Linked DNA regions of Drosophila melanogaster. The protein of the gene in region 2 interacts with the protein of the main gene of each other region in a pairwise test. Each region holds a gene or a part of one and is shown on either strand. Other genes may lie near its edges. The genes, in order: dan, Cdk4, RabX5 and CG5708.

Region 1 (8,044 bases), on a different chromosome or scaffold from region 2:
TGCAAAAGAGCTCGCCCCATGGTGCAATTTTAAAATGAAAAACACGTTTTGCGCATGACTGACACATGATTTCTTTCCCTGCATATATATGTACGGATATATCTGTATATATACATATATATCTATATATATATATATATGTGTGTGGCATTCAAATATACTGGCAGCACAAGTTGGTGTGCGTGCCCTCGCAGAGCGAACTTCTCAAAGGAAGAGAAACTTTCGAGAACTAAGAGAGTCCAGATGACCAAACTGGAGGAGTCTTTCGTTTGGCCATCCATCGCAATGCTGTTTACAAAACGCACATCGCTCCTTGGCTGGCTTTGAAGCCACTTGGAATGGAGTTTACACGTTGCCAGCTATTAATTTGAGGCTCCTGAATCACTGGACTTATCTCCTTCGGTTGCTTGTTTAAGCAGACTTGAGCTTATGATTTGGAATAAGCAGTTGGCAAGGACCAAAAGGGATAAGGTGCATCGTTTTGCCAAATATTTAATCTGGTTGGTATTGTTATAGGATATGCTAGGATGCTTTCTATTATTTGTTTTGTATGCAAAGAAAACTTAAATGAGAAAAGTGGTACTAGATTCCAGTATTTGAATTAAAGCTATTTAGTTAACTCTAAAGCGTATGCAAATCAAATGTATTTATCTACAAAGTAGGTAATCTAAGTCTATTATTATTATTATATAATTAATGTGCTACGTTGGTAATCACTGCTAATAGTTATGCGTTTGTCACCTGGTTGAGTATGCGGTTTAATGCATACCAATCTAGTTTAAGCCTCCATTTCTCGCTCCCCCTCACTTGACACCCAAACCACAAAAATAGACACTCCGGGCTGTTCATAACCAATAGAGCAGCAAATAACTGTGTCGACGGTGGTGCATGTGATTCTGCCCCTACTACCGACAACCTAAACAGCAAACAGCAAACACCTAACACCATACACCATACACCTAACTCCATTCAACTAACACCACCCACAGATCCGGAGCTGCGGAGATCCAGAGAAGCAGCGACCTGAGAACAACCTGCACCCAAACACATATCGAATAAAACTTTTACCGCTGTATAAAAATTACAAGGTCTTTGGCCATTCAGCAGCGGAGTCGAATGGGAAATGGGAAATGGCAAATGGGAATGGGTGGGTCTGAGATGGGGTAGAAGGAAAAGAATTTTTACTTTCGCTTTCTGCAGTGGGTCCGTCCTTGTCCTAGCCGGCTCGCCATTAAACTTTTCACGAACCGAACTGGGACAGTGAGAAGTGTGTAAAAAATCTAGTAACAACAGAAAAAGATGAAAGAAATAAATATAAAAGAATTACACCAAGTTTGTCAGTGTGTGTGTGAGTGAGTGTGTGTGGAAGGGGCCCGTCTGTGTCTGATGTTGCTGCTGTGCACACATGCACACTCACACACCCGAACACTTACACACACCTAGTCAGGACAGGACATATGTATGCCGGAATGGCCATACCCGTCAGTATGTCTGTAATGGCCAACCGTCTGGCCATTTCATCGTACACGTGAGTGTGTATGTGTGTGTGTGTGTGGGCTAAGAGCTTCTGATTTTCCTATATACAATTATAATTTTATTGTATTTACTATTTTTTTCGTTTCTTTGGCTTCGTATTGAACTCACTCACAGACACAGAGGGGCAATGCATGTGGCAATGTGGCAAGGACACCAAGGAGGGTCAAATGGGATGGGTCGGGATGAGCGAGGCGGGGGGAGGGGCAAGCGAAGGGGGGCAGGAGAGTCTGGCAAATGGAGGTCAACGACTGAAACTAGTACTAATATGTGCAAGCGTTTGATAGCTCCATTCGTTTGTGCTAATGCAGAAAGAAATAAAACACAAAAACGAGGCAACACATAAAAATAAGAATTCCGTAGATAAAAGAAAAAGTTGCTTTGGTCCAAACCCAATCGTGTGTTAGTGTGTGTGTGTCTGGGATGTCTGGGATGCTTCCCTCACCGCAGTTAAGTGTGTGCAAATAAACCATGTGTCTGCTGTAATGTTGGACCTGTTGGCACCAATGATCTATGTGGCTTTAAGCACTATTGCACCTTTTTTATTGTGTGTTTTCGTTTATGATTAGCCCGATTAATGTTGTGTCGGCATTTCGCAGTGGAACGAATTTATTAATTGTCGGGGGATTCAATATGAACTTTATCAAATTATCTAACTATGGTCTCATGTATGGGCAATACTATTTTAAACAATGAATCGATTTTCAGAATTACAGTTATATAATAAATAAATAAAAATATGTAAATCCTTTGATAATTTTCCTAGTGTTGAAATATCAGTGATGTTATGAATGATGTTGTTTTACAACACTGAAATGCTAATGATGTACGAGAAAAATATAATTATAAATAAAATAAAAAATAAGAAAGATAATAATAAGCAACTTTATTAAATACTTTCTAATTTATAAAACAAGATGAGAATAGTGACACAGAAGCGTTCAACAACTAAACGGATAGGAAAATAACTTTTTACCATAAATACAATCAAAAAGTATTGCATACATTAAGGGGCCAATAAAACCGGTTTCCTGTGTTTGTTAATATTGCAATTCAATATAAACTTGGTAGATAAAGGAAATCTAACTAAAACTCTTTAGTTATATAAAATTTACATTTTTTCAAGCTTATTTTACAAACCAAGTATCATATGGACAAAGTAATATTTGAATCTAAACTCGGAGGTAAAAAAATTAAATAAAAAATTAAAAATATTAATTTTTGATGGAAAGCAAATTTAAGTAATTGCTAACGCAGTGTTAGGAGGTAAATAATAAAATTACATAAGATATTAATGTTATACACAATATCTATCACTCCTGAATATTATTATAAATAAATATGAATAAATACTTTCTCGTAAAATATTTCCTGCTCTTTTGTATAAAAAAGTTGTTAAGTTGTTATTTGAAGGACCTACTAAGATTTGTACTTATTAATTTATAAAATGTGGCAACTATTCAAATACACAAAGAACTGCACTTATATTGTTTTCCAAATTGTGTAAAAATAATTCGTTTTTGTTATGTAGAAAGGTAAACAATAAATCTTCAAAACTAATCTCTCGAAAAACTTTTTATGTTTGGTTTCCGATTTAAATAAATATTTTTTGATTATTTAATATTTTTTCTTGTGTCACCAATTCTTCAAGTTGTGTTTAAAACACTCAGTTAACTGTTATTAATTAATGCAGAACTAACAATTACACTTTACGGATTGCTCAATTCACCGGTGAAATCAAATACTAACCTTTTAGTTATCTTCCGGGGGCGAAAATGGATCGGTGCCTTCTTCCAGCGAAGGCGGGAGAAATTCGGTGATAGCGCAACTATTTGCAGCAGTTAAATTATTCTTATCTCGACCGGCGATGTTTTTAAATCACTTTACTTATAGTTCACATGGATTTGAATTTATTGTTTTCAGTTAATGTTGTTGTTCATTTGAAAGTATAACATCACTCGGTCAATCACAATCGAACACTGTGCTCGCGATGCGGCGTGATGTTTACCGCTGCTGTGGCGTGCGAATTTTAGCGGCAGGACATGCGGTGCGGTGCGGTGCGACCTCTCTCTCGCGCTCGTCGAAGGATATTGTGATATTGTGACGCTGCGTCGCTGTGACGTGGATGTGCGAACCTGAGCGGCTAGCGTGCGGCGACAAACTACCGCGGCGGACTTGAGTGAATTTTGATTTTAGCGCGGCGAATTTCCGCACGGCGACGACGGCGGCGACGTCACGGGAAATTTAAAGTCGCACGTCCACGAAATGCGGCGTTTCGTTCTCACTCACATACACAAGCACACTCGCAGATATATGCGTCCTGCAGTGGTGGTTGTGTGCTGGTCAGTTGGTCTGCCTTGGTATTAGTAGTTTTGTAGTTGTCGTTTTTGTTTCTTTCACGTGTGCGTGAGTCGCTCTCTCTCGCTCCCTCTCTCGGACTCTCTTTCGCCCGCTCTCTTTCGCTCTCACTGTTGCGAAATTCGCGGCCTTTTTCGGTGACAGCCAAATGTACAATGATTAATAACGGTCAAGACGGCGGCGAAGAAGTCCTCTCGCTTTGGCTGCCCCGTTCGCAATATTCGCATTTTGGCATTTTCGCATTTTGGCCGGCCCAACCACAGGCCAGTGTCCACTCACACACACACATATCGAGCACACATACTAACACAGCACATCCTCCCACACACACACACACACACGTGCGGACACACAGCTGTGTGCAACGAAGACGACGCAATACTCGTGCTAGGCTTTTTGAGATTGAGAGACGCACATCCTTTTCGGCCTCCTTTCTTGCGCCCACGTGTGTGTGTGAGCACAGAGAGAAAAATCTTGATACCTTAGTAAAGATAATGTTATTAAATTTGGTAAGAATTCGAAATTTAGTATAATAATTTAGCAATTTTGTATCTCTTAGTTATGTACATATATTCCATGATTATAACTATGAAAATGAAATTTCATACAAATAAACGAATAGATGATACGATCGCTTGTGATGAAAAGTATATATTACTTTTCTGCCAAGCTTATATTTCCTTGTATTCTGTATTAGTTTTAGGTAAAATCTAGATTTTTTCCAGTGTAAGACTGTGTGCAACCTCAGGAGGCATTTGCTTGCGTTTAGCTAAGCCATTTTCTGCTTCCTTAAACGCTGGGCAACAACTATCAAACGAGCAACGGATCTGCGAGAAGAACGTGAAAAACCTAGCCGAAATCCCTGTCTAATTTTCGCAGTAGGGGGTGCGCCTTTTATCGTCACTGATAATTCTGCTAGTTTTCCCGCTGTCATGTGCTGCAGTTGTTGCTGTTGTGATTGCGGCCAGTTTTCCTCGCTTTGTTTTGATACATGCCTTCATCGCAGATTACGTGGGCTCGCCTCTCTTTCGCGACCGTTTCGCAAAGAGCTGAGGCAAATGAGAACCGAACATCCTCTTCCTTAAGAGAGAGAGAGAGAGAGAGGGAGAGAGCCAGTGAGAGAGCAGCTTTCGTCCTCGTCTTCGGCTTTTTGCCGCCCGAACCGAACGAAGTTATGACGGCAGGAGGTGGTGACCCCACGGGGAAACCCCCCTTGGGAAACCCACATTCTTGAAAACAAGGCGAATCCGTCCAACAGAGTGGCTTTCTTGGCTCTTTTCGTCGCTCTTTTCGCTGGAGCGTGACCGGCGATCGCCGAAGGAACCGGAATTCTCGAACGGACACTCGATCGCAAAGATATGGGCATGACATAGTGGTTGTTTCTCCATCGACTTTTGCAGGCAAATTGCTGCGGTTTAGAAATGTCAGATGGCGAAATAATCGAATTCAAATTGTGGGACAAGAAACTAATCAGCTGCAAATTTCAGGTGATAGCCAGCTTCAAAATATGTATTTCCCATATTTAGCTACCAAGAATAATATAATTGTAGTGTATATAGGTAGGCAGGACAATAACTTATGTTTTCCATTAAAGTGCCGACATATTCATACATATTCATATACTTAGTGCACAACATATTCAATGCTTGGTATACACCAATGTTTAACATGGTTACGCATTAAGATGTTTAGGTTCCTTGTAATATTAATTACCGAGCTGATAAGCTCTAGGTAGGAATAAAAAACCATGTTAAATAGATTGTTGATATCATTCCCAAGCAAGTTTCAAGTCAAAGTGTATTTTGATTAGTTCTGCGAGAGAAGAAAAACCTGACAAGTATTTGCACCATCGTGGGATAGCCCCGAGATTACGATCTTATATAATGCGTGTGTACACATAGGCATTTTGAGGTCGTAGACTTAGTAGTTGCTATGCAAAACATTTGCGCAGAGCACACACACAATCGCACATACATAGCTCCCTATTTCCCTATTGTATCTGGCCAACGAAGGCGGCCACTGACCATAATAACAACAACGGCAACGAAAAAGACAGCAGCAGTGTCGCCAGAGTTGCTAGTTGCTGCCTTTCGGGAAATCGCTAAGAAAGGTTTTTGAATCCATGTCCGAAACGCACAATCACACGTACACGCACAGCCACACGCACACGAAAACACAGGCCCAAGGATATAGTGTAGTCGTACATATAAGTAGAGGCGTATACACAACAAGGAGCAACAATAACGCAGGACTACGGAATACGGACAGCGGACAACGGACGACGGACGACGGACTACGGACGACCACGAGTATAGATGGCCGGCATGGGGCCGCATTGGCAAGAAACATATCCTTGCCACTAAAAAGCCAAGCAGCCTGCCCGGGTCGCTTCATTTCGTCACACACACACACCCGCAGCCTCACTCACTGGACACACACTGAAGCAGTTTGGCAACACGCTACCCACACAGACGCACATTCTTCTTAGCATCCGCAGGCACATCAGCATCTTTAGCGTAAATTTTGCTGCTGCGAAAATTTAGAGTTGTTGCTTTATGCCAATGTGCGTGCTAGAGTGTGTGTGCTGGTGTGTGTTTTTGGGTATATATACTTCAGATTTTCATCGGCCAACCTAAAAACCCCCCGCCCCTTAGACAGCGGAGCCCAACCCGACCGATTGTCCATTGTCCATTGTGTCCACCAAGGCAACATTTTCCATTTTCGTTCGTCCTCTCTTTGGCCGCCGGACTTTCTCTCATATCTGCAGCTCCTTGCCAGCCGCCTTCGTCCTAGCCACCAAGCCACCAAAACCGCCCAACCGCCCACCACACCACCCCTTCAGTTGGTCAAAACCCCCCTTTTCGGATGTGTATGTGTGTCCATTTGTGAGTGTGTGTGTGTGTGCTGGATGCCTTAATGTCGCTGCGTGTGTGTGTACAATTACGAATTCGTCGTCCTCGACTAAACTCAATTCACTTTCTCCCTAACTCTGGCAAGCCCGCGTCGTTGTCACCGTCGTCCTGCGATGTCCTTTCACCCAACCCGACTCACCTCCCAGAATCCCCCATCCATCCCTGAATCAACCCAACCCCTCATGTCACACCTCCGGATGGCGAAGGAAATTTTCGCGTGAATTGAAAGATGAAGGCGCACTGGGCTGGACGTTGGTCACCCCCGATGGTTGGTTATATGTACACGCATAGGTCCTTGCTGATTTCCGTTCGAACGTGTGGCTATGTGTGTGTGTGTCGGTGTGTGTACATATGCTAGAAGACGTGTGCGCTTGATTTTCAGCACCCATCTACCAACACCCACCCGCCCTGGGAATCTGCATCCTCTCACATTGTCTTTGTATAACTGTTCCTAAAACAAAATTTTCAGTTTTGCCTTCGAAAAGATAAATGTGTGTACACGAGTTTTCTATGTATGCTTTTTCGTGCTTGTGTGCGTTTCTCCCGGCTACATGTACTCGTACACTGGGATCTACTCAAAATATATCCCTAGATGCGTACTTGTTTGCACCTTGCCTTAAACTCGATTTGTCCCTGCCCATTTCAATCAACTCATCGATCATTTATTTCTATTTCGATCACCATCAATTGGGTTTGGGAATTCAATTCGATACCAGTTTGGATCAGAACTGACATTGATGGTTACGAAAGATTAACAAAAATATGAACCACCTGGAATAGAAATTTATCGAGTTTTCAAAAATATCAACGAGAAATATAATTTCTCAGAATTTTAAGTGAAAGTTGATATAAAATTTAGTTGATAGATAATGAAGTCGATAAATAATACTTGAAGCCAATATATATATATTGTGTGCGAAACTATTTTATAGCAGTAGAAGATGCGGTTCCTTTTCACATACACCTGATTTCATGTACTGCAGATATATTTGCGATGGTCAAGTCGAGCCGAGCATCGTCGCCTGGAGACAGTCTAATCCGTTGTCCGCAATTGTGCTGACCTGGGCGGTCCTGCAAGATGCCCATGCTGGCAGTTCTTTCCTACCTAACCCGGAGCGAAACACCCTGCCTCCTTGGCCATTATCTGCAGTTTTGTCTAAGCTAAGGCGATTTGAGCAGACAAAACCGCAGCTCTCGCAAGTTGTTTGGACCCAGTGCGTCCTTTCGTCCTTCGTGCCCTT
Region 2 (10,627 bases):
TTTGTTTAGTTTAGATAATATTTATAAATACAAGATTTCTAGAACCGGACAGCAGGTTATTTTATATCTTTACCAATATGTCATCTCGTCTTCTGATCCATTTTTGCCCTTCTGAAAGTGTAGTTACTAATTTCCATCTATTTTGTTTGTTATACACAAGGTCTAAAAAATATCTAAAAATCCAATAAGAATGCGCTGTCTTAACAGTGCACCCCGCCGACTGTTAAGTTAACATAATCCACTCCGTAGGCGTCCAACAGAATGTTAGCCAACACGTGGATCCACTGTTATGGGTGAAAAAACGGCACAAAAACCATGAAAATAACCGCATAAACGGCACAAAAAACACAATTTCACTTGGTTTATATAAAGTGCAAACACTGCTGATTTTTATTACGTAGAAATGGTGAACGGATGGGTGCTACACAAGTGTGTAGACTGGCCGGCCATGTATGAATGGCTGCTCCAGAACGCTGCTTTCTCGCCTCGCAAGTGTGTTGCACAGTATATTCGCCACATTCAACCGCTTATTCGAAGAGAGCGAAGCCCATGTCGTCATCCTCGGACTCGGACTCCTCCTTCTTCTCCTCCTTCTTGGCCTCCTTCTTGTCGCCACCGGCGGCGGCAGCGGGTGCGGCATCAGCGGCTGCGACGGCACCACCGCCGCCCACCGGCATCGAGGAGAGCTTCTCGCGACCCTCCTTGATCAGGTCGTCGATGCTCTTGCCAGCCAGCTCCTTGATGACCTTGGTCAGACGCTCGGCGTCGACCTCAACGCCCACAGAGCTGAGGATCTTCTCCAGATCGCTGTTGGCGGGCGAGTCCTTGCCACCGAGGACGGCCAGAAGGTAAGCAGCCACGTAACGCATGTTTAAGTCTTGGGTTCTTGACACGAAACGTGAATTGGCAAAATGTACGAAAAACACAACTTTCCTTTGCAAGTTGTCGTCGAAAAAGAGGCGGAAGTCAGTGTGGCCGCGCGGTCGAGGCTCGAAAATACCAGCTCATACTTATATATACCAAAGTATACCACATCCTTATCTAGCAATACCCCTAATGAAACGATAAATTCAAATATTATTTTCAATTTTGCTTTTAAATAAAAATTAGAGCAATATTATTGATTTTTGAACAATTTGGTGTGTTTTTTTTATATTTACAACATCAAAAAGTATTTATATTAGCTTAATAATATGACCTTTCTTACAGCATGGAAATGTTATCAGTTGCAACACTGGGTTTCAAACTTGGCTATCGTAATAGTGGGAAGCACTTTGCTCTTGCAGTAGGCGGTCACACCATTTGAAACGGTTCTGTTAGGCGAGGTCTAACATACTGTTAAGTGCTGGAAAGAGAGCAAAATGAGAGTGATCGTAAGCTAAGAGAAGGAACTAGGGATGCGTAAAAGTTAACAGCTGGCTATCGATGATTAACATGACCATCGTTTTAACAGCAGAACTTAACTGTTATTTGTACACATAAATATAAAACTGTAATAAAACTCGAAAAAGCTGTATAAAAAATAAATTTTTTTCGAAAATATGTTTAATATGAGATATTTATTATTCTTCAAAAACACTTTAAATTTAAGTTGCACCCCCACTTGAAATAAATTGCAGAAAAGACATGAGACCCATCTTATTGTATGCTGTATATATAATTGCATATATAAATGATTGTTGTACAAAATTTTGAAATTGTATAATGCATTCCTGAACTTTGTGTATCACATTTCGATTTGGAGGGCCTTCAAACGCCCTCGAGAATCGTTTCACATGTAATGGTCATCAGATAGTTGATCGGCAGTAGTATTCACACTTAACTTACGACTACAAACAAATTAAGGTATTCTTTATTCCGGATCCGTATCCCCGGACACAATAACTGGACTGTCGCGAAAAAATAAACAAAATGCTTCACTACACTTAAAGGAACATTGGTAACAAGAACGAAGCGCGGCCGCAATGATCAGTCCACTGCCACTTTCACTTCCACATCCATAATCCATAATCCATAATCCATAATCCATTATCCATTATCCTTCTGGGCATCGAGACTATAGGGGTTCCTGCTGAAAGTAATCGTGCTCCAAACAGGCCAAGGCGGATGGTCGCAGGTGGAGGTCGTAGGAAAGCATTTTCTGCGGGCAAACATAGGGTATGCGTTAGTCTAGACCATGCAACAAGATATGTATCTTCATTTTCATACTCACATTCAACAGATCATCGGCGTACTTGCACAGGTGTGGGCAAAAGTCTTTTGGTCTCTTTGGATGCCGCTGGGGAAAGTGTTCCAGGGCCACGGAAATGGTCTGTGGCCACTGTTGCTCGGTGGGTCTACCGGTCAGTCTGCGTGAAATCGCATAAATGTAATTAAAAATCACCGATTTCAATGGCAGTATTTGTGCACTCACTCGAAGATGCGGTCCAGCTGATTCTTTTCGGAGGTGCCCGGGAATAGGGCGCGCCGATTGAACATCTCGAAGATGATGCAGGCGGCACTCCAGATGTCCACGGTGCTGTTGTAGGGCTGGGCGAGCAGAACCTCGGGTGCGCGGTACCACAAGGTGACCACCACGGAGGTGAGCTTCATCTCCGAACCGTAGGTCTTGGCCAAGCCAAAGTCGGCGATCTTGAGGTGGCCCTGCGAGGAGACCAGCAGGTTTTGCGGCTTAAGATCCCGATGGATGATACGGTGTGAGTGTAAGAAGTCCACACCGGTCAGTAGTTCCCTTGACAAGCGCTGCAATAGGAAATAATTTCATATACCATTTTCTGAAATTTTGATATCATTTTGAGACCCACCTGAATTGTGGGCGGCGACATGCCCGATTTGGGAAGTCTGTCTATAAGATCCGAAAGATCCTGCTCCACATGTTCGAAAACCAACAGAATCAGCAATTGGCCGTCGCGCTCCAGAAACTGGCATACTTCGTACAGTCTGAAAGAGAGGGGAAGTGCAATCTTTGTATGTACAAATTGTTTGATTTTGTGTGCGACAGAGAGCGATGTATGGGGGAAATGTTGAGAGATATAAAAAAAATGTGTCATAAAATGCTGCTGGTTGTGGTGCGCCAATACGCCATTGGCCATACTTTGTTCGTTTCGGGAACTACGCGAAGCACTCGAGACAAACACATGCGCACATGGCGATCAAAGAGCCAAAGAGAGCGTCCAGTAAGAGAGGCTACAGATCGTTTTCGGACAGAGGCAAAACGTAAACGTTAGCAGAGCAGATTAGCATTATGTTATGTTAGCATTATGTTAGAATCAGTTCGGGCAGTTATTTTAACATTGCCTTTGAATTACTTAAAAGGCACAGTTTTATTGAAACCTTCTACTGTTACACTTGCTTTAGCAACTGGCACATTGGGTTTTTAAAAATACAGATAAATACAAGAAACTTAATTTGCCATTGATTTATTTCTTGTACCCCTCCAACACTTTTGGCTTCAAACAAAATAACAGCTGCACTTTGTAGCCATTTGCAACTTAACTTAACATTCTGTTGTGCGAGATCTCTCTCTCTCTCTCTCTCTCTGTCGATCTCTTTGTACTGTATTCGCGTCGCGCTCTCACGCTGCTAAAGTGCAAGCGAGTGCGCACATCGATAACGCGCGACAGCAACATGTGGTTATCGAGCTGCTCTGTTAATTCAAATTCCTAACGGCCGCCGCAAACAAACATAATGCCAATACAAAATCGCCCACATTTGCGAACTGCAGTGATCAGTTATCAGCGGGAGCGGATCGACTTGCTTCAGACTTACTTGACTTGACTGGCATATGTCAGAAGCGAGGGCGTTCGCCGGGGGCAAATCGTCGGAATATTACGGCTATAGCATGCACAGATAAACACAAGCGCGCTGACATTGCGATGCGGCTCTTTACAAATGAGTTTGGCAAATAGCTTTGGCGCCGCCACTTGGCCCCAATGGCGGGTGATAACACCCCTCATATACAGCTAGCTAGCTATAGTTCTACATAAAGTACTCAACTCCAAGGCCATTTAGAAGCCCACTGCCCTTGTGGCAGCGTGTAAATCACCCATACTCACTTGACAATATTCGCATGATTGCTGGCATTCAGCTGCTTCAGCAGCGAAATCTCCCGCAGCGTGGACATTGGCACACCGTTCTCGTTCAGCGATATCCTAACCTTCTTCAGCGCCACTATGTTGCCGGTGATCACATCGCGGGCTCTGTAAACCGTTCCATAGGCACCTGAAAAGTGGATCGAAATTGTACATCAAAATGCTTACAACGGGAAATAAATGCGAAAGACAGCCGAAAATAGAATAAAATAAAGTCAGCTGTGCCGATAAGATAAATGGCAGAAATCAGAGAGGCGAGAGAAAGAGAGAAGGTGCCACTTAGCTTCTTCATATCATTATGGTGTATTTATACTTTTCATATTCAACATCGTATTTATAGCCCTTACGATTGAAGTGACTTGATTTATTTGCCTTGTTCGATGAACTAACTGTTTATAATGATTGAATGAATAGACAATGAATGCATTTAGCCCAAAAGAATCGTATTGCAATGCATGCAATAATTGCATATATTAGAGACTATATTATATGCACTCAAAATTAGTCAAAATATTGCACGAAATTCAGACTAATTTCCTCATGAAACTGTTGCTGTCTCAGGTACAACGTGATCTTAATTTCTACATGTTCACGGGCAAAGAAAAACGACAAGAGACGAGCAAAATTCCCAATCAGAATCAAATTCTGGCATGCCAGAGAAATGTCACCGAAAATTTATCACCCGTACGGACAAATGGACAAATGGACAAACGGACGGACGGACGGACATGCGTGGGGGGTAGAAAAGCTAGAAGGCACCGGCTATTTCGGTTGACACTGACATACAGAAACAGCAGATATGTACTGATACACCCGAAATAAACGCAACTTGAGGGGGGGGGGGGGTGAATTTGGTTTTCCGTCCCTTTGTCACCGTCTCTAGACCACCTGGCTTATGAACTGTGCCGCTGTTGCTACATTCAAGTACAAGGCCGTGAGCTCGACTCGTTTTTGAACGTCGGCAACTGGTCTGTCCAATTGGAATTGTCAAAAAAATATACAAATATACAAGCAAAATAAACTCGAAAAATTGCGCAAAGAAAACAACAAAGCAAAGCACTATGGGAAATTTACGCACTTTATCTGGCCGAAAACCGATTAATATATGTAATATTAAATGCATGCATTTAGTTACAACGGTGACTACTGTTAGGCAATGCAAAAAAGTTAATTGAATGACTATCTGCAAACTAAAAAATATATATTATATATCATTAAAAATATGGGCTAGTGTAAGGCAATGCAAAAAAAGTTTGGAGTTAGTTTGGCCACAAAAAGTGGTCAAATTTTCCATAGTACAAAGTAGCAAAAATGAGACTGAGCGAAAGCGAATAATAATTGAATGAATGTGCACAGAAAGGCAGACAGCCGAAAGTTTGAGTGTATGTGTGTGTGTGTGCGTTGTATAACAGATGAAATTGTGCGGACCCATGACTCGCACAACACCCAGTAACAATATCCATCATTAGCATTCGCCTGCCCATGATGATCGGCATGATCGGTGACGTAATTGATTTGGGCTTTATTTACAGCAAACAAGCGATCGTAATTACTGACCACAAAAAAAAAAGACCATGAGCCACTTGTCAGATCATCATGGATGTGAGATCGGCAGAAACACGTAGTCCGCCGAGAGTGGACCTAAAAGTATGCAGGTAGAAGGTGTAGGATCCAATACAGGGGAGTTTTCCATCCAATATTTCCCCTTTTCGCGGAATTTCCACGCTTAATTAGTAAAGGGGTAAAAAAACAACAACATTCCTCCAAGTGCACTTGTCATTTCAGCTTCATAACAATGTCGGAGCTCCCGATTGATCGTAAACAGTAGTGAAACCAAATAGCCCAGACTTTGTAAGCAAATTAAAGTAATCAAACGTTAACAACAAGCGACCAGCAAACGAAAGCCTCTCGTGCGAAGAGAGCCGGACCTATCCCAACAACAAAGCAACCGCGTCCCATTATTAAATCCCACCCAAGTCGCTCACCTTCGCCGATGATGTTGAGCTCCTGGTAGTTGAACGGATCGCCATCGCCGAACTTCTTCGCCTGGGACATTTTCTGCCGCTTCAGCTGGCGTACATATGACATTTAGCTGGATTTTACGGTTATTTGCGTATTCCTCTAATATTCCGGGTAATCGAAACCGTTAGTTGCACCAGCTGGAAGTGAAGGGGTGTTTTTTTTTTGGTTATCGATCGTCTGCATGTCACGTATCGATATGTCCTTGTGTCCCCACGCGATAGTTCACACAGATCGTAGCGTGAGAGGGAGAGTGCGAGTGCGTGAGAGAGAGAGGGAGGGCCTTACCTGATTTCATACCTGTTGCCTTTTCTAGATAACCCCAAAACTGGCGATAAAGACTGGTGTGACAGGTGCGCTAATGGAAGAAGTCTGGCTATATGCTCCGCTATGCTTTTCTATCTCCGAGAACCGAAAACCGAAACATATACATGGACAACTACATATGTATGTATGTATGTAGATGGCGGCGGTCGTTGAACCGCGTTTAATGTTTTCGTACATACTCCGTTTTTATGTCTAACCAATCGCAGAACGGCAAAGGCCAACACTAGTTATGACTTATTCATGTTATTCAGTGACGCTGCTCGCCGTCTCCGTTTTGCGGCTTCGTTCGTGCATCCTGTTGCTCTTATTCGAGCTTGACTGTGAACGCTGTACTGGTTATCTACTGTCGCGTTAGTTGGCGTGTGTCCACTATTCTCTCCTATCTAAAGTGCTACCACTTTTCTGTCAGTGCATTTTTTTTGCCCGAAAAATATACATATACCGCAAAAAAGAACCCGAATACAATGTATTTTGTTGCTGGCATTTGTCAATTAATTCTAATCGCGAGACAAGCGAAACAACAATAATAAGCGACACAGTCACAAAACTGGGTAGAAAGAGAGTGTCCAGAATTGTGAAAGGTATTACGAGGTATTACGAGCTGTATATTTGGGTCTAAAATACATAGTTATTGTTGCACCAGTTTTCGCCCCCTCTCTCTCCCTCGTCATCCCTCTCTCGCTCACCATTTGCGCTCTACTGATAAGGAAATTTCGGCTTCACTTTACTTTTTTTTCGGTGAACTTCAATGCCAATGTTGTCGTTTTTCTTTCAACCGTTGTGCGAAATATTAGTTAAATATTAAGAAAATGTGGTTTTTATTTGCGAAGACTCGAACACACACACAACGCCGCTAAGTGATTTCGCTTGAGAGATCGGTCTTACACACACACACATACACAAACACAAACGCACACACCGAGTGGTACACACACACAGGCGCAGGTATTATGTATACATATATGATTTTTATTCGCTTTGACGAAATTTTGGCATTTGTTGATAATCCAGCTAGAACCGCACGATAGGAGCAACGCGACGCGAATTTTCGGTGCGAACACGGTTCAGTTGCCGGCAGTCGCACTTTAATTAAGTTTTTAAAACGTCTTATAAATTTTTACCAATATTCGTAAGAGTTGAGTGATTTTGTGTTTTGTTGTTGGCACAGCTCTGGAAACTGTTTTAGATGGTCTACTTAACAGTGGCTTCTCTTCGCCTGTTATCGCCCGCTGTTAGCAAACAGACGGCCGCTAACATTGTGCTGTATACGTCCAATCGGTTAAACGGTTAATTTCGAAATTGCTGCCAGCGATCGTTATTGAATGTTATTCCAATTCGATAACGTAAGTGTTATTGTGTTATACTAATGTTATTGATTTCTGGGAATTTGATATTTTCAACTTGTAATAATGCCCAAATTTATTTTTTTTGCAATGTGAATTTCAGGCATTTATATATGTAACATATATAAATTACAAATAAATAAATAATAATAAACATAATGAAAATAATATTTGAAAAAAATTTTTATTACATACGATAAAATGTGAAAATTTTAAAACTGTCGTGGTCAACTACAATTGGTCGGCCATAATTAGTTAACTCCAAACATGTGTGTCATTGACTTTTAGCATTTTTAGGATTTGGTAAACTTAAATTTTTATAACCCTGCAAAATAATACAAAATTCTGGAATAAAATGTCTTAATGATCTAGATTGGCGGCATAATTCAATTTGTAACTCAATCCGGCGATAAAGTCACTCGTTGAATGTATAATTTATTGACATGAGTTGAATGCCAAAAGTCGCTCAACATTTTTTTGAGTGAAAGCTTGCTTACCGATTTCCAACGATCTGGCCGCACTGCCAATTTCGAAATCGAATCAAGGCATTCGCAGTGGGGCGCGTAAATTTAAAAACAATGTTGCAAATACATTGTGAAACCAATAAACGCATTTAACAAACCGCCTATCACAAATGTTACCCATTGGATTGGCGAAAATTTCCATGTTTTTTTTTGGGGAAAAAGCGCGATTAATTAGTAACGAAATCAAATTAGAGCACAGTGACGAAGTCAGCCGAGTGCTAATTACCACCAGCGGGTATCAGGCACCTAAATTATGCATGACGTACGCCTTTCCGGCTCAAAGTGAAAGGGCAAACAGCGAATGCGAATGCGAATGCGATTGGTCAGGATGGATGTGTTTTGTTGGGAAATGAAAATATCACTTTCCCAGACAGCCGGAACGTGCCCACCTTTCTCACCTTTGGTGGGCGCCAGTCGGCGATTGGCATTTGTGATTCAATTGCTGCAGCCCATCTTGGCCCACTTAGCACCTGGATGAGTCGTATTCCTTCGCGGAAGTCAACGCCCAGCCGTGTAGCATACCTCACCCAATTAGAACATATGCATTTCCGATTCCAAGCCAAACTGATTTCACAGAAAAAACTTTTCATGAATGAATAATGAATGAGTGTGCTATCAGGATTTCTGGGTATCATAATCGGCTTTGTCTTTCAACCGCCTGACAACTAATAATTTCCGAGGAAGCTGCCAACGGATTAGCCATTTAATTTGCATTAGTTTGTGTGTCTGGAACGTTGCCGGAATAATGGTATTATATGGTATACCGTTAGGATCCGGTCGAATCTGAAATTCACCGATCGGCAAATAGACGCAAGTCGCTGATAAGCATTTATATTTTGTTTTTCACTCTCTGACATTTTGTCGGCCTGTGACGAAGGCGCTTATCGGCGCTGGCGATTAATCTTATTGCGTTTCAAACCGGCTGCGAGCCAAAAAACTAATTAAATGAAATTTATTGTACAAATATTATGGTCAAAATGGCTTGGTTCTGGCTAAAAATACGCAAGAAAATGCCAAGCCAAACAAAGAGTCCAAATGAATCGCGCGTTCTGAGCCCGTTTTTTCTTCTCTATTTTTATTCTTTTTTTAATTCGGGGGTGTTGACGGGCAATTTGGCTAAATGTTAGCCAATTGAATAAATCAGCCAGCAGCAGCAGCACGGCAGTCTGCCGAAGCAACCGGTTGGCCATTGACACGGCCAAGACGGGTCTTGAAATCGACAAACTAATGCCACTTGGCCAACAACGTCACTGGCCCAGCGAATCGAACACACTAGTTCCAAACCCGAACCCCATCGATGATCGGAGATCGCAGTTCTGAGATGCGAGATCCAAGATCTGATCCACTGATCACGTGCGGCAAGAAGGGGGTTTTCTCTTTTGGCCAGCGGTATCCGGAGAACCGATCCAGTCGAGCGCGGCTCATTACCATTGGCATTAAACAAGAACTCGAGACCTTGGGATTACGTGTTCCCCTCAAGCATGAAAGCCAAGCTCAAGTGCTCGGTTGACAGTTTTCCAAGTTATCCATCCAAATATGCGTCACCGCATCGCAGCGATTTGCATAAAGCGGCCGCATAATGAACACCAAATTGGTTCCGATCCGATGCCGTGATCTCGGCGAGAGATCTCGATCTTTAGAGCTATAGATCTTGACAAGCTTTACGACTCCACGGTGGCTTCCGTGTGTGTGTGTGTGGCGCCAGTTGCCCATCGCCATTCTCATCCTGCTATCTGCTTATCCGAACTACTGGGGAGATTAGTGTCTTCTTGATTGGTAAGTGCGTCATGGAAAAAGTTTAATTAGTTAACGCCGAAGATCGAAGATCGGTTAATGCCAAGCGCAAACAAACGCGGCTTATGTGACGCATATGTGATTCAATTCGATTCGATTTGATTTGATTTGAATTGAATTGATATCCCTGGGAAGCCGCAGAAGCGTTAATTACGTGACCAGCTGGAGCGGCCAAAATGCAGCCAGTGCCACCAATTTGGCAATTTGGCCACAAAACACTGGAACTGGAACCCTAGGTTGTGTTTTTTTTTTATTTATTTATTTATTTTTTTTTTTTTTGGTGGCAAAGGGGGCTGCTACGCACGCCGCGATATCGGCAATATTTAGCGAAACCCGGGTCGGGAAACCAGTTCCGCGGGGCGAGGGCATCGAATCGGGCCGTATAAAAGTGAATTGTCACAAAAATTCTGAACAGTCGAAGCGCACGCTCAGCGGCGACAGCAACGAGAATCGAAGCCAACCAAAGCGAATCGATAGCCCCGGGGGCCAACAAGGTGTTAAGCGATCACTGATAACAAACAAACTGACT
Region 3 (6,680 bases), on a different chromosome or scaffold from region 2:
TCAAAATGCACGCAACCTGCAAGACAGGCGACTATTGTTTATAGCCCGCTTGGATTTGTTTTTTTTTTTTTGCTCTTAACTCTTTCTTTTCGCTGGCTGCCTGCACATTTATTACTTAACGCTTTGATGCGTTGACGGTTTGATGGTTTGTTCTTCTTGGCCATCAGTTGCCCGCTTGCCGTGTGCCCCTCCGTTTGACATAGTGCACTTGGCCATATTCGCTCGGTTTGGGCCCCCTCATCATCATCGTCATCGTCGTCGTCGTCGTCGTCGTCCTCATAATCAGCCCTCTTTTTTGCTATATGTTCATCAAGCGAATCAGCGTAGCGAAGCATAAAGCCAAATTAACATAAACAACTTCTTTTCGACTTCCATATCTTCTATACACGGAAAATCGCTTTGATTATTACAAGCTATCTTCAAATTAAGATTGTCATATTTATAGTTTGGGATTCATGTTGAAATAATTTCTCTGTAGATACATTTCTTTGCTGTGAGCACTTAACCTAATCATATTTCATTCTTAACCCGATCTTATTTTCGTTCAGTGTGCTGCACGGCTTGCTGCTCTCAATCGCCCACATGGCCAAGTGCTCCTCCTCATCCCATCTTTTGCCCATTTCCTATGCGGCTATGTGGCGGAATTAAAGACCTTTTTACCATATACCATCTAACTATTTTCCGTCTGCTATTCTTCTACTGTCTAATTGGAATATGAATACGAATTTCATTTGTTGGTAGTTTGTAGTTTGTATTTTGTAGTTTATAGTTTGTTTTGCTTTTCTCCGGTTGGGGGATTTTTCTTGTGACAGGTCAGAAAGCCGCGCAAATTATTGGAATCACTAAAGGTAATGATCCAAATTGATGTTAGACTATGGTGGCTTCATCTTCATTGCACAACTGGAACTACATTCATATTTAAATATACGTTTTTGCTTACCAACCCACTTATTATGCACTTTTGTTGCGCGATTTAAATGTGAGTTATAAATATTTATGGACGCAATGAGTGCAGTCATGTGTGAGCCTGCTAATGGAATTCCGTGTTGCAATCGGAGTGCAACTACAGCACTTGGTAGTTATGGCACCCATATATTGTATCCACCATTGTTGCGTTGCCATGTCTGCACACGCAGTAAACAAGTTGGGAAATCGGCGGCACGCGCTCATTCAAATTAATTGAGAAGGATGTCGCGACCTTTGAGGAAGGATTACCGCACCGCGGACTTCGAGCAACTGAGCAGGATGATTAGGGACCATCCGCTGATGAAGGAGCCCGGAGCGGAGCAGCAGCAACTCCATAAGCTCCGTACGCCGGAGTACCGAACGAAGTGCGTGATGAGAGCTTCCTTGGATGACATTGCCTTGGGGGTGAGTGCCTATCATCCTTAATGTCCAAAGAAATCAAGCCATACAGTATGTTTATTCGCCAGATCAATCTTTACAAGCTGCAGCTGGACACGCCCATGTCGCCCACTCTGGAGGAACCGAATTATCTGAAGGAGCCTGCTTCCTCCGCCCGCTCCGCCCACTCCGCCCGTCCTCCAGCCACGCCCTTCATCAAGGTGCTGCTCCGAAAGACTCCCATCGTGGTGCTATTCGAACGGCGCAGCATGACCGCCTTGGCGGACACGGAGGAGGGTCGCCAGGTGATGGAGGACAACCGGAAGTACGACGAACTGCTCTCGGGAACGGACAAAACGCGGAGAACCGTCGATGCGGACACCCAAACCATGACGGCGCTGATGAAGTCCAGGCTGGTGAACACCGAGCGGCTGACCACCGCCCAGATGGGTTCCTATGTGTCCAACTTCGAGATGTACGACACGTACACCGACCTGGAGAAGTCCACCACGAGTGTCCAGGTGCAGGGCGCGAAGAAGATGGAGATAACCACCTACCACGTGGGCGGGGTGGATCAGTTCGTGGGGATCAACTGCCTGCCCGGCTTTCGACTGGCCCTCATGCTGACCATGCGCATCTTGGCCAGCAATGTCTTCGAGCCGCAGCAACGGAGGTACAGGAACATGGCTCCTCCAGATCCCTTGGCCGAGGACGTCAAGTTCAAGTACCGACTGGGCCTGCTGTGGCGACTGAGCCCCCCCTCGTCGGATCCCAAGGTTCATCAAGCGGTGAGCGACATGAGCTTCTGTCCCAGCAATGGGGACATCATGGCGGTGGCCTACGGGGTGTACAGCCACGGCAAGGTCAGCAAGTTACCCAGATCCGGCTGGGTCTACGTGTGGAACATCAAGAACCCTGTGAATCCGGAACGACGCTACCACTACCAAGTGCCTGTGGTCACCGTGGAGTTTTCACCCACCCAACCGCAACTGCTGGCCATTGGACTGCACAACGGAGGTGTGGAGGTTAGGGATATTTCTGGACAGGATCTGCCACCACTAGCTGTATCGCAGCGTTTGTCCTCGCCATACTTCGAGCCAGTAACGGCCATTAAATGGATCTACTTCGAGGGCGATGTTGGGTGCAGGAACCCGCACATCACGCCCTTCTTGGCCACTTCGCAGGCTGGGGCGGTGACCAAGTACCGGCTGATCAATAGTCCCAATATGCTGGGACTCGAGCAGCAGCGTTTGCAGCGGGCGGAGGGCGAGCTAGAGGGGATTCCCATCGAGCGACAGCCTCCGGCGGCTTCCCTCCTGGCCAACAGGCATCCGCAGTGTCTGGAGATTGTGCTCGATCCTGTCCAGTCGGACATATACTACGTGCTGACCGACGAGGGTACCCTGTACAAGTGCTCCACGAACTACCCGCTGCAGCACTTGGAACTAAGGCAGGTGCACGATGGACCCGCCGCCTGCATGGAGTTCTCGCCCTGGTCACCAAGGATGTACCTCACTTGCGGCAGCGACTGGTGAGATCAACTGCGATTTTGTTCCGGGTTTCTCTATCCTCACTCATGCGTCCCCATCAGGTGCATTCGTATCTGGCTGGCTGGAATCCTGTTGCCCATCGTGACCCTTCAGCATCACCTGTCCCCGGTGCACTGCGCCCGCTGGAGCCGCACTCACTCCACCATCCTGGTCTCGCTCAGTCGCAGCACCGTGGACATCTGGGACCTGCGCAATAGCACCATGAAGCCGGTGTCCTCCACGGTGATAGACGCCGACATCTTCTACACCACCTTCAAGTGAGTTCAGAGTCTTCTCCTTGAATGATCCTATCGCATCTCCTCGCCTTCCAGATTCACCCACTGCGGCCGTTCGCTGGCCGTGGGAAACGAGGCGGGCAACCTGTTGATGTTGTCCTTCGAGGACATGCCATTCCCGCCGCACTTTCAGTACAAGCAGCTGAAGAGAGCCATCTTCAAGGCCCTCTCCATGCAACCCGATCTCCGCAAGCAGGTGAAGAGCGTCGGCTACTTTGGCTATCCAGGTGGGACGAAGCAAACAAGGGCTTGATTAGATTAATCAAGATATTATAACCATAAGCCATTGTATGAGTGTTATGATTGACACAAATAAAGCCACCAAATACCAATCCAAAGCGTTTTCCTTTCGGGCTTGAAGGTTTAATGATATGGATACAATGGCAGCCCAATATTAAAGCTCAGCTCTTAAGGCCTTCTCCCTATCGGAACTAACCCACACCCGAGCTGCTCTTATCGAGCACCTGCATTTGCAATGCAAAGCAGGGGGTGTAAGGTAGCTTTCGGCACCTTGGGCATGTGATAGCCACCAAGTTCAAGCCGACCAAGTTTGTGGTTTGCGGCGGAGGCGATGACGCCGACGACGTGGCTGGCTTCCCCAATTTGAGCTGCTTAGTTAGTTGGAATAGAGACGTCCGCCATGCCCCATCGACTGCGGCAGAACCTGCTGTTACCCCAACCGCCCACGGTGGTCCTGCACGATCCTCGCACCCACCTGCGGCACCTGCCACCCGCCTACAGTGCCGCACAGACTCCGCTGAGCAAGGAGCGGGACTTTGGGGCGCAGGTGCGCTACTACCTAGAGGCGCCTCGCAAGCCCAAGTTTCGACCCTGCAAGGTCATCTTCGTGGGCGACTGCTCCGTGGGCAAGACGGCCATCGTCAATCGGTGAGCATGGCATGGCATATAGGCATTACTAAATTAATTAACTTACACAATCATCCGCAGATTTTGCTACGACAAATTTCAGTCGAACTACAAGGCCACCATTGGCGTGGACTTTGAGCTGGAGAACTTCAGCATTCTGGGTCACAACTACAGTCTGGAAATGTGGGTCAACTGCCTAGAAGGCGCTATCAGTTTGGTTTTGAAATGTGCTCTACTTGCAGGTGGGACACTGCTGGTCAGGAGCGCTTCAGGTGCATCGCCGGAGCCTATTATCGCAATGCGAGTGGTAAGTACCAACTAATTAAATCATTAGGAGAGAGTTTTAACAATACAAATCCATAACCAAAGTGATTGTGGTCACCTACGACATGTCGAAGAAGGATTCGCTGGAGTCGGCAAAAAAATGGCTAAATAGCGCACTCAACTACAATGCAAGCAAGAGACCCTTGGTTTTCCTGGTGGGCACAAAAGCAGACCTCTTGGTAAACCACCTTTCCAACAAAAGATTCAAGTAATAGCACTTACTTTTCAGTCGAAGGAGGAGTTTGTACGCATGGAACGACTGGCAGGGTTGGCAGCCGCCGAGCTTCAGGCGGAATATTGGTCCGTTTCGGCGCGATCTGGCTTCAAAGTTACGGAATTATTCCAAAGGATCGCTGCCCTGGCCTTTGAAGAGGCTGTAATGCAGGAAATTAGGTCTATTAAGAATAAGCCTCAGGAACAGGCCACTCAGGCATCTGTTAAATCGCAAACTTTTGGTAAGCCGCTATTCGAAAATTCTTATCCTATCAGCTTATATTTATTCTTATTTAGATTTACGCAACTTCTTTGGAAGCCGCCTCTCGCAACAGAAAAGTGGCTGTACTTGCTAGCCTGCAGATTGCACAACTTGTATTTTTAGCTTAACGTAAGACATTGAATAAAACAGTTTTAAACAATTTGGTTACTTCTTTCGCTTTAAATTCGAATTCAACAAGTACCGTTACATTTTAAACACCGTTAGCGTTGCCACTCATTTTTGCGGCTGTGTTGCACGCGCACAGTGTCAAGATAGCAAGCCAGACACGGCTAATAAGTGCCGCAGCAGTGTTGCCAAACGCACTGAATGCGTGCCAAATTCCAGCTATCTGGCCACCCTCCTGTCAAAACGGGCTTCCGCCTTTTGACAACTGCCCCTCAGTTTTCCTTTTCATTTCTTTTTCTCGTAGAAATGCCACCCAAAAAGCCAACCGAGAAATCCGGTAAGGATTTTTCATTCAAAAATATGCGAAAAATGCGTGAATCGATCAGCAAAAGGGAGACGACAGCTCAGCCCACCAGAAGGCAATCGAATTTGTGCGAAATATTGTGATTTTAAGGCATAAATGTGTTCGAACAGATAATCCGTAGTTTCGGCCACGTGCGGTGTGTCTGCGTGGGAATGTCCAAGTGTGTGTTCAGAATGGGATAGTATAGCAACCGAGTGAGCAATCCAAAGTTGAATTTATTCGAATGGAGCTGGATGAGTCGGAAAGCGTCCCATTGCCTTGCTGATCGATCAGGCCTAACCTAACTTTGTGCGTCGAGAGCCGAACATGTTTACTAATCCGTGGACTCCGCGCTCTTCTGTTTACAGCCAAGCCTGGCGACAAGAAGCCAGAGCAGAAGAAGACTGCTGCGGCTCCCGCTGCCGGCAAGAAGGAGGCTGCTCCCTCGGCTGCCAAGCCAGCTGCCGCTGCGCCCAAGAAGGCTGCTGCCCCAGCGGCTAAGAAGGCTGCTCCGGCCGCCAAGAAGCCAGCGACCGCCGGTGCTGCTGCCAAGAAGCCCGCGGCCGTAAAGACGACCGCGGCCGCCAAGGCCAAGAGCAAGGATGCCAAGAAGAAGGTCCTCGCCGGCAAGAAGCCCCAGTCCGTGCTGGCCAAGCTCTCTGCCAAGGCTCGCGCGGCCGCCAAGGCCAAGAAGGGCGTGAAGCCCGTGACCAAGCCCGCCAAGGGAACCGCCAAGGCCAAGGCTGTGGCTCTGCTGAACGCCAAGAAGGTCCAGAAGAAGGTGTGCATCAGCTGCTTAATATTGAGGAGATCGACTCGGACTAACCTCGTTCTTTGTTGCTCTTTTCGAACAGATCATCAAGGGCGCCTTCGGCACCCGTGCCCGCAAGATCCGCACCAACGTGCACTTCCGTCGGCCAACCACCCTGAAGCTGCCCAGGAGTCCCAAGTACCCCAGGAAATCGGTGCCCACCAGGAACCGCATGGACGCGTACAACATCATCAAGTACCCACTGACCACCGAGGCGGCCATGAAGAAGATCGAGGACAACAACACCCTGGTCTTCCTCACACACCTGCGCGCCAACAAGAACCACGTGCGTGCCGCAGTGCGCAAGCTCTACGACATCAAGGTGGCCAAGGTGAACGTGCTCATCCGGCCCGATGGCCAGAAGAAGGCCTATGTGCGCCTGGCGCGCGACTACGACGCCCTGGACATTGCCAACAAGATCGGCATCATATAAGCGCTGCAATCTGCGGTAACGTGTGGAATGGGCATCGCGTTCTACATTTTATATGTAGATTCTTTTCTATAAACAAAGTAATGCTAAGCTGACACGGTAGAGCGAGGATGAACGTTTCAAAGTTGTCTGGGT
Region 4 (7,481 bases), on a different chromosome or scaffold from region 2:
ATTCTCTATTGATCTCGACGTTCATGAGGACGGACAGACATACGGACACAGCTAGATCCATATACTGCGCCCCTTACTTATCACAACTGCTAATAAATATTTGAAATCGTTTGTTTGGTTTGGTTTTAGGAAAGTTTAGTAGTTTTAAATTTTTAAGTAGATATGTTATACATATGTAATCGTTTTAATCGGTTATCTTGGAAAACTATCGATAACATGGCAATAAAATATAACATTTTAATTCACTTGCAGTGACAATGGATGAAAAAGATAAAGCTCAACACAACATGATATCCAACCTACCACTTTTGTTTGCGAACGGATATCCAACATCCCTAGAAAAAATTACGGAGTCCCAGTTAGAAAATTTTATTCCCTTCATGGTGCAATGCTCTTTAGGACACATAAACTTACCAAAGAAAATAGATTGCAGTGAACCAGAATGGTGGCCCGAAAGCGCTCCTTTCGAGATTCCGCTCAAAAAGCCGAAAGCATTTGTTGGGGTAAGCTTTTTTCCCTTACCTTTTGATTTCTATGGCTTATATTTAACATTCACCCCCATAAATGGCTAATATATACCTGTATCTATTTTACAGAATTGGATGGAAAAAATGAAAGAAATTGTGGTTATATGCTATCAATTTCACAAAAGCTTATTTCTATTAAGATTTTGTAATGATTTAGCTGCGTATGAACACGCGAGCTTAAGATTCATAAACAATTATAACTCAACAACTTCATTGTATGACAGGAGAAACAACAAACTGTTGGTTACATTTCGAAATGAAAACATGGTAAGCCAAGCCTACTTTGAATAATTGGGTTTTAAAATTAGTTAATTCTGAATTGGTTATTTTGCAGTCATATGATAGACAACAAAAGAACAGAAAGTGCTTGTTGCTGCAAAAGAACAACAGTTCCATTAGCGAAAACGTACAGCATATGATGGTTGAGCCACCACCTTTTGATATCTACCTATGTGACAACTGTGATGCCGAACTTTATTCTAAAGAAGCTATACTCGTAAGTTGATTGCCAAAGATTGTCAAAGTTAATAGTTAATAACTCTATTGCATAACAGGAACACGAAAACATTTGTTGCATGGAGGATGACGTTATACTTTGTGATTCCCCTGAGCCAGATAACAAAAGTGATGGGAAAAACGAAGATATCGAACAGCGCAACGCCTTTCTCTTAAACTTTAAACTGCAACCCAAATTCTCCGATAATAGTTTATCTAAAGAGAAACAGAAAACATATTCATTCAGCGAAGAAACATCAACGGAAACATCAAACAGAAAGAGGCGTTTACCATCGCGGAGAAATCGAACAGTTCATTCGTTTAGTAGGTGTTCGTTTATCCCAATATCATCACCTGCAGGACAGCAATTGTTAAAATCGACAAAACAAACAATATCAATGGATTATATTGCGGAAAGACAGGAACGCCTGGAACGCTTTTGTTACACTCCATTGATCAATAAATCAAATACCAAGCAAAAGTATTTTGAAAAAAAAACAAACACTACAGTGCATTGTACATTTAAAAAGTCACATGAACACAATTATCACATATATTCCTTTCCGCGGCGTCAATTTGTTAAACGCAGGGACACTACTGAGAACTTTTTGTTTTTGAACTCTCCGCTGATTAAACAATGCCGTCCAATATCAGTCAGATTGAAAAAAATATCCGAACACGTAATGGAAGAGCAAAATCACACTGCAAATACAAAACTCAATATAAGACTAACGCGCCACAATTCGCTCAACTCACACTGGAGAATTTCACCCACAAAGGAAGTTGTTGTTGATACAATTGACTTATGCTCCTCGGACGACGATGAGCAACAAGAGCCAGCAATAGGCTCGCCCAAAAGACTTGGCTCGGATGCACTGACTGTAATAAAACTTACACATAACAACAGAAATTTGTACAGTAGCCGCGTCGTCGAGCCAAGTAAATGTGCTCCAGAGCCAGAATCAGTAATAGTTGATAATTCGGTTAAGCCCCTACAGCAATCTTTATATATTTATTCAAACTATAAGGCTAATTCAGTAATTAGTCGCTGTACCGTAGACTCGATAGCCAATCATTCACTGGTTGGTTCCCTGAGTACATCGAATACTTTTGCTGATTCTGAGGGACACAGAAAGGAATACAATCAGGAAAACTGCAATTTTTCTAAGAACTTGGTCGCACTCACAGACTGGTACGCTCATTCGGCTAATTCGAAAAAAAGCACTACAAATCAGACTACTGAGAGTAGTACGTTTGATGCGATTTCCGCGGCTCCGCCTTTCAATGGCACTGGGCGTATAATTTCCATTGATTTAACTTCTTAGACATTTTAATCCATAGTTAAGTTAAGAAATTGTTATTTTACAAGAAAACCTAAACTAAGAATTACCATATATGAATAAATAATTTGTTTAAATACTTTTATATATAATGTCTAAATTCATTTTCTCTGCGTTTTAAAGAAAAGACATACTGTAGAGGAACCCTACTGTTTTGGGATCTCTATTACCACGTATAGATGGTAATCAGCATATTTTCCATCCGTTTTCTTCATAGTTCGAAGCGTTAATCGATGATCTGGTTGTTTGAAAGCATCGACATAAAGTACACGTAAATAGTACATGACCTTCAAAAGCTTATTTTTTTTGGTTATGAGTCACATCATAATTTTATTACGTCATTAAAGAAAGAGAGGGGACGTCAGGGTTAATACAAAGTAGCATTAATCCCATGATTGATACTTGAACCAGTCTTTTCGGTATGTACCTCAACCCAACGTGGGCTTGGCCCTTTGTAGAGTTAACCATCACCCCGCCTATTTTAGGCGATTCAGCTGTACGCGTCAGCTGCTTTTGGTTTGGCATATCTAGTTTTATATCGCATTTTCCATTCATTCCGATGGGATGAAGAATTTGATATAATTTAGACCATCCCAGATGTTTCTTTCCCACACTGTTCCACTCGATGCATTCTCACTGAAAACGTCTTTCAAAGAATACCACAGTAGTCCAATTTATGTAAGCCAAAACATATGAAAGACAACATTTTAAATGTTTATTTTATCATCATATGAAATTTCTCGGTCGCAAACGAAAATATAAATGTTTTCCACCGGAATAGAAAAATATCGGTGATCACAGCGATTATCCATATATAAAATGAATAAAATGGATGGATAAATGTCTTATAAATTTGGTATTCTTTTAACTTAAATACATAGGTAAATATAAAAATTTATTTTATTGCTTATCTTATTCAACCTCAATATAAATAGAAAAAAGCCAAGACATCATCACTGACTGCGATATTATACAGCCAAATAACTGAATTGACCGATTAAAATGTGGAAGTGTACACGGTGCACCCTGTATAATCGCGGATTGCTTGCTTTCATATCTATGAATTAGTTTGGTATGTAAAGTCGTATACAAGAAATGGTGTTTGAAACCAAAGCGATTTTACTGTTCCTCATGGTGTTGTCAAAGAAATTTTCGCTTTTAAATAATTAATTGATGAGTGTGTAAGTGAATATTGTGTTTATTGTTTACAAAAACCCCGTTTAGTCGAGTGATTAAGTGAAACAAATACCAGCATATATATGTACACAAAATTTCGCTCAAATGTGCCACTGACAGCAAATCAGTATTTCTGTACATAAACGTCAAGTTTGCCAGTTTGAAGTTTTAGTTCGCCGTAATGAACAGTGCAAATTACAAACATTAAATATTGATTAATCTATCGGCGTAAGACCGCAGTTTGATACACACATATATGTACGTACATTGCAAGCGTTCGCTGCGAGTGTGTGTATGTATGTATGGTCATTTGGGTGTTTTACTTATGTACATATGTACGTACGTGCGTATATAATCAATTTGTATGTAATGACAGCTGTGCAGAATGCAATGATTCAAAAATAATTTCAAATTGGATCGCTTTCGAAAATCCAAAAGTCATTTATTTTGCTGATTGCCTGTCGCTATTTTTGCATCCGCAATCGGCGAGAAATGGCGTGAATAGCACGTTCTGTCATCGATTGATAAAATAAATATTTTATTACCTTCTAGTGAAAATTCTGGATGGTAGTTTGAATTTTTTTTCAAAATCGGCGTAATTGTACTAAAAGAGATGCATTTATATTTTTCCTTACTAAGCTTAACATTTATCTGTAAGCCCACTGCTCCTTAAAAAATAATTGATTATTTTAAACCTATTTTAGATATTTTATGTGGTTTATGCGTTGAGTTTATGGTAGAAACACGGCAATTATGGAGTTCCACGACTAGGCTTCATTTTTGCACATGTTAAAAGGTGATTTTATTAATATATTTAACACATTTCCCTCTATCAATACATGTTTCTGTACTTTTCAGGTTTAAACCATAAACAGGACCCATATGCCTTCTACGACTTAAGTCATCAACATTATTTGCAATGAATGCAACGTTCCATTCATACAGAGACATACTAGCGGCACATCACCAAGACTCATCTAGTCCTGAGAACTTCGCCCCCATAGTAATTGACTATAGAAACTCAAACCACACAAAGGACACTGTGGAGACCAACTCGAATATCTCATCGTCTCAGCTATCGTTCATGGACGAATCTTCAAACGATTTCAATAATCAGCAGTTAATTCATTCCAACTCCCTTATTAAAGTGTGTGGTGGTTGTGGAGGTAAGTTCCTTGAATCGATTCATCTATGAGCTACAATAACTTAACTCACGTTTTCTCTGTTTCGCTTGCAGATAAAATAAGTGATAGATATCTTTTATACGCTTTGGACAGATACTGGCACAATGGCTGCCTTAAATGTCACTGCTGTGGAGCTATGCTAGCAGAAGTGGGTTCCAGCTGTTTTACGAGGCGAGGCCTGATTCTTTGCAAAAAGGACTATTCCAGGTACGCACGCATTCGACTGAAAAGATTATTTCAGCTTCCTTAAAAACATGTTGCCTACTTAATGGCGTCAACCATTTAGATACTCTTTAGATTATGTTCCTTGTGTTCAAGTTCACATTTATTTTCCAGCATGTTCGGGTGCTCCGGAGTTTGTTCTGGCTGCGGAGAAACTATACCGCCAAGTGAACTGGTAGCGAAAGCACTTACTGGAATAAATAATATCGATTTACAAAATCAACAAAAACAAATAATTAATTGCGTATTTCATCTAAGGTGCTTTAGTTGTGCTAAGTGTGGATCCAGTCTGCGTCCTGGTGATAGGTATGCCTAACAACACACTGCAGTGAAGAGCGAATTTGAAATGGAATTGCTTTTTCTTTTTGCAGGTATACTATGTTAGGAGCTAGCTTGGTGTGTGAACAAGATTGGCACAAATTACTTAAGGGCCCCGCCAACTCGAATGGAACGCTTGGACAAAGGAAAGGAAAGGTCGGTAGGCCCAGAAGATCAAAGGACTAATCAAACTTAATGTCACATAAAATATACATATATTTTAGAACATAGTTCATATTTTTAAATTACCTATAAAAATGTAATTAAATCATAATATAAAACAAGACCTTCATTTAGGTGAGTTCGATTGGGAATTACACGTGCAACTATGCATAAAAACGAATGGATAATCTTAAATCATTGAAAAATGAAATAAATTCGAAAACAATGACATAAACTAATATCGAATGACAGTAAAATTGATAGATGTTTTAATTAATTAAGACCCAAAAGGGACATCAGTCTTGTCTTAAAGAGCTTCAAGTAAACAAAATCCACAACAATTCAATTAATCTTTTTATTATGATCTAAAACATTTTCCCAGATATCTTCACAAGAATCAATAACAGTTTGCGGCGAGGACAGTTTGTGCTTCATGAAAAAGCCTTGAATTTGCGCCGGACTAGCGGAGCGTCCAAAGGAATTCACTCGTTTTCCGAACTCCTCGGCTTTTGTGGTGTCACTGCTGGCGAAGAAGTTCTTGAACATCTCCTCCAACTGATATTGCGTACAATAGCCAATGTATTCCTTTAAATCGATTCTACCAGGACGAACTAAGGCGGGATCGAGGCGGTCAATGTAGTTTGTTGTCATGAAGACAATTCTGGCCTCCGTGGAGCCCACACCGTCCAAGCAATTTAGGAGTCCACTGAACGTTATCCTGTTGAGACCGTCAAAGGCGGATTTCTGCTGCGGAGTAGCTTCGCGCGAGACGAATGCTGCGTCGATGTCCTCCAGCAGAATGATACTCTGCTCTGGCGCAACATTCAGGAGATGATTGAGTCGATCATCGGTGAGGCCTCTTTCGGATAGGTTTAGCAGGCAGACACTGTACTCCAGTTCGCCCGCCAGGGCGGTTATAAAGCTAGACTTGCCACAACCAGGTGGCCCGTACAGAAGGTAGCCTCTTCGGTAGGGGATTCCACGTTGCGTATACCACAGAGAGCTCTTAATGAAGTCCTGGCAGTCGGCAATGATTCGCTGCGAAGTTCCGCGATCCAGCACCACCGATCCAGTGGGACGCCTTCTGCGCGGATGTCCGAAGGGTCTCCATTCCGCACCCATCGCTGTGTACAGCACGGTTTTGCCCTCTGTGGCCTCCAGAGCCAGCTGCCTAGCCTCTTCGAGGATATCGAAATATATACCTTTATTGTTACCAAACGCTGTAAGCGTCACTGTCTCCCAAGGAACACCCATGTGAAGGTCCAATGTCTGTTGTTCCCTGGTCCGCTCCACCTGAATCCAATTGCCCTTGTACTGGAACAGATGCTTGCCTATGCTGGGTATGAAGTCATAGCTGGTTTTGATTGTGCCATTGTCGTTCTGCACAAAGTTTGTCTCCACGCTCAAGTGTTGCGTTTTTCGCGCTCCTCTGATCGTAATCCATTTTAACAGCCACTGATAGGATTTGTCCCGACACGGCACCTCCAGGGTAATCATGCAGTGCCGCCGGAACAGTATCACTCCGCCCTGGAGGCCCTTGCGCAATATGGCAGCAGCGGCGCCCACACCAAATAGTCCAAAACCGGCACCAAAGTAGGGATTTGACGAAAGTCCAGCTACAAGATCGGGCAAAGTCATCTTGTCTGCAAAAACCGAGAACAAGGATCAACGTTTAATTAAAGTGTTTTACTCTTTTTCGGCAATAAAACCCTATAAAACAACACCTGTTGCTTAATCTATCATCCAAAACATGGGTTCCTCCTGTAAACAATGGTACATCTTTTCGAAGCAACTTTTTAAACAAATAAAACTGAAGTCTAACATATACTGTTTACGTGCGCTTCAGCAAAGGCACCAACAATTTTATTTTCTCATGAGAAAACCATGTAATTTTATTATTTAAATCAACCATTTGCCATCACTCTCGTTATGTAATTAATTGTAATTTAGGTGTGAGCAAATAAATATACAAGTTGCCGCTGAAGTGGCACATTTTATTTGGCATAAAAACCATCTTAGAGGATAACTTGTCATTCACTAAAAGCAATCAACATTTT

What was found.
Region 1: the proteins of Cdk4 (region 2) and dan interact in a two-hybrid assay, tested with the Drosophila melanogaster proteins (one large-scale study listed by BioGRID).
Region 3: the proteins of Cdk4 (region 2) and RabX5 interact in a two-hybrid assay, tested with the Drosophila melanogaster proteins (one large-scale study listed by BioGRID).
Region 4: the proteins of Cdk4 (region 2) and CG5708 interact in a two-hybrid assay, tested with the Drosophila melanogaster proteins (one large-scale study listed by BioGRID).

The regions. Positions count from the first base shown.
Region 1 is NT_033777.3:25,180,668-25,188,711, reverse strand, and holds the start of dan (distal antenna), read right to left. Parts: upstream 4,330-8,044; 5' UTR 3,283-4,329; intron 1-3,282. UniProt on the Drosophila melanogaster protein: Probable transcription factor with a role in the retinal determination (RD) network. Regulates ato expression and is required for normal R8 induction and differentiation.
Region 2 is NT_033778.4:16,576,465-16,587,091, reverse strand, and holds Cdk4 (Cyclin-dependent kinase 4), read right to left. Parts: upstream 7,623-10,627; 5' UTR 7,559-7,622; intron 7,529-7,558; exon of another isoform or gene 7,166-7,528; intron 6,987-7,165; exon of another isoform or gene 6,399-6,986; intron 6,260-6,398; exon of another isoform or gene 6,251-6,259; 5' UTR 6,180-6,250; coding exon 6,077-6,179; intron 5,097-6,076; exon of another isoform or gene 4,222-5,096; coding exon 4,056-4,221; exon of another isoform or gene 3,723-4,055; intron 2,941-3,722; coding exon 2,805-2,940; intron 2,743-2,804; coding exon 2,414-2,742; intron 2,349-2,413; coding exon 2,213-2,348; intron 2,141-2,212; coding exon 2,057-2,140; 3' UTR 1,644-2,056; downstream 1-1,643. Other genes in the region: RpLP2 (ribosomal protein LP2), read right to left, coding at 528-869.
Region 3 is NT_037436.4:1,667,214-1,673,893, reverse strand, and holds RabX5 (RabX5), read left to right. Parts: upstream 1-3,785; 5' UTR 3,786-3,809; coding exon 3,810-4,057; intron 4,058-4,117; coding exon 4,118-4,219; intron 4,220-4,278; coding exon 4,279-4,343; intron 4,344-4,405; coding exon 4,406-4,539; intron 4,540-4,589; coding exon 4,590-4,815; intron 4,816-4,870; coding exon 4,871-4,929; 3' UTR 4,930-4,993; downstream 4,994-6,680. Other genes in the region: CG13930 (uncharacterized protein), read left to right, coding at 1,189-1,371, 1,434-2,875, 2,936-3,151, 3,206-3,422; RpL23A (ribosomal protein L23A), read left to right, coding at 5,268-5,298, 5,673-6,085, 6,159-6,548.
Region 4 is NT_033779.5:10,222,727-10,230,207, reverse strand, and holds CG5708 (uncharacterized protein), read left to right. Parts: upstream 1-3,399; 5' UTR 3,400-3,543; intron 3,544-4,242; 5' UTR 4,243-4,334; intron 4,335-4,396; 5' UTR 4,397-4,457; coding exon 4,458-4,704; intron 4,705-4,775; coding exon 4,776-4,929; intron 4,930-5,058; coding exon 5,059-5,250; intron 5,251-5,315; coding exon 5,316-5,448; 3' UTR 5,449-5,751; downstream 5,752-7,481. Other genes in the region: ova (ovaries absent), read left to right, coding at 258-503, 597-794, 862-1,023, 1,082-2,347; Bcs1 chaperone, read right to left, coding at 5,767-7,062.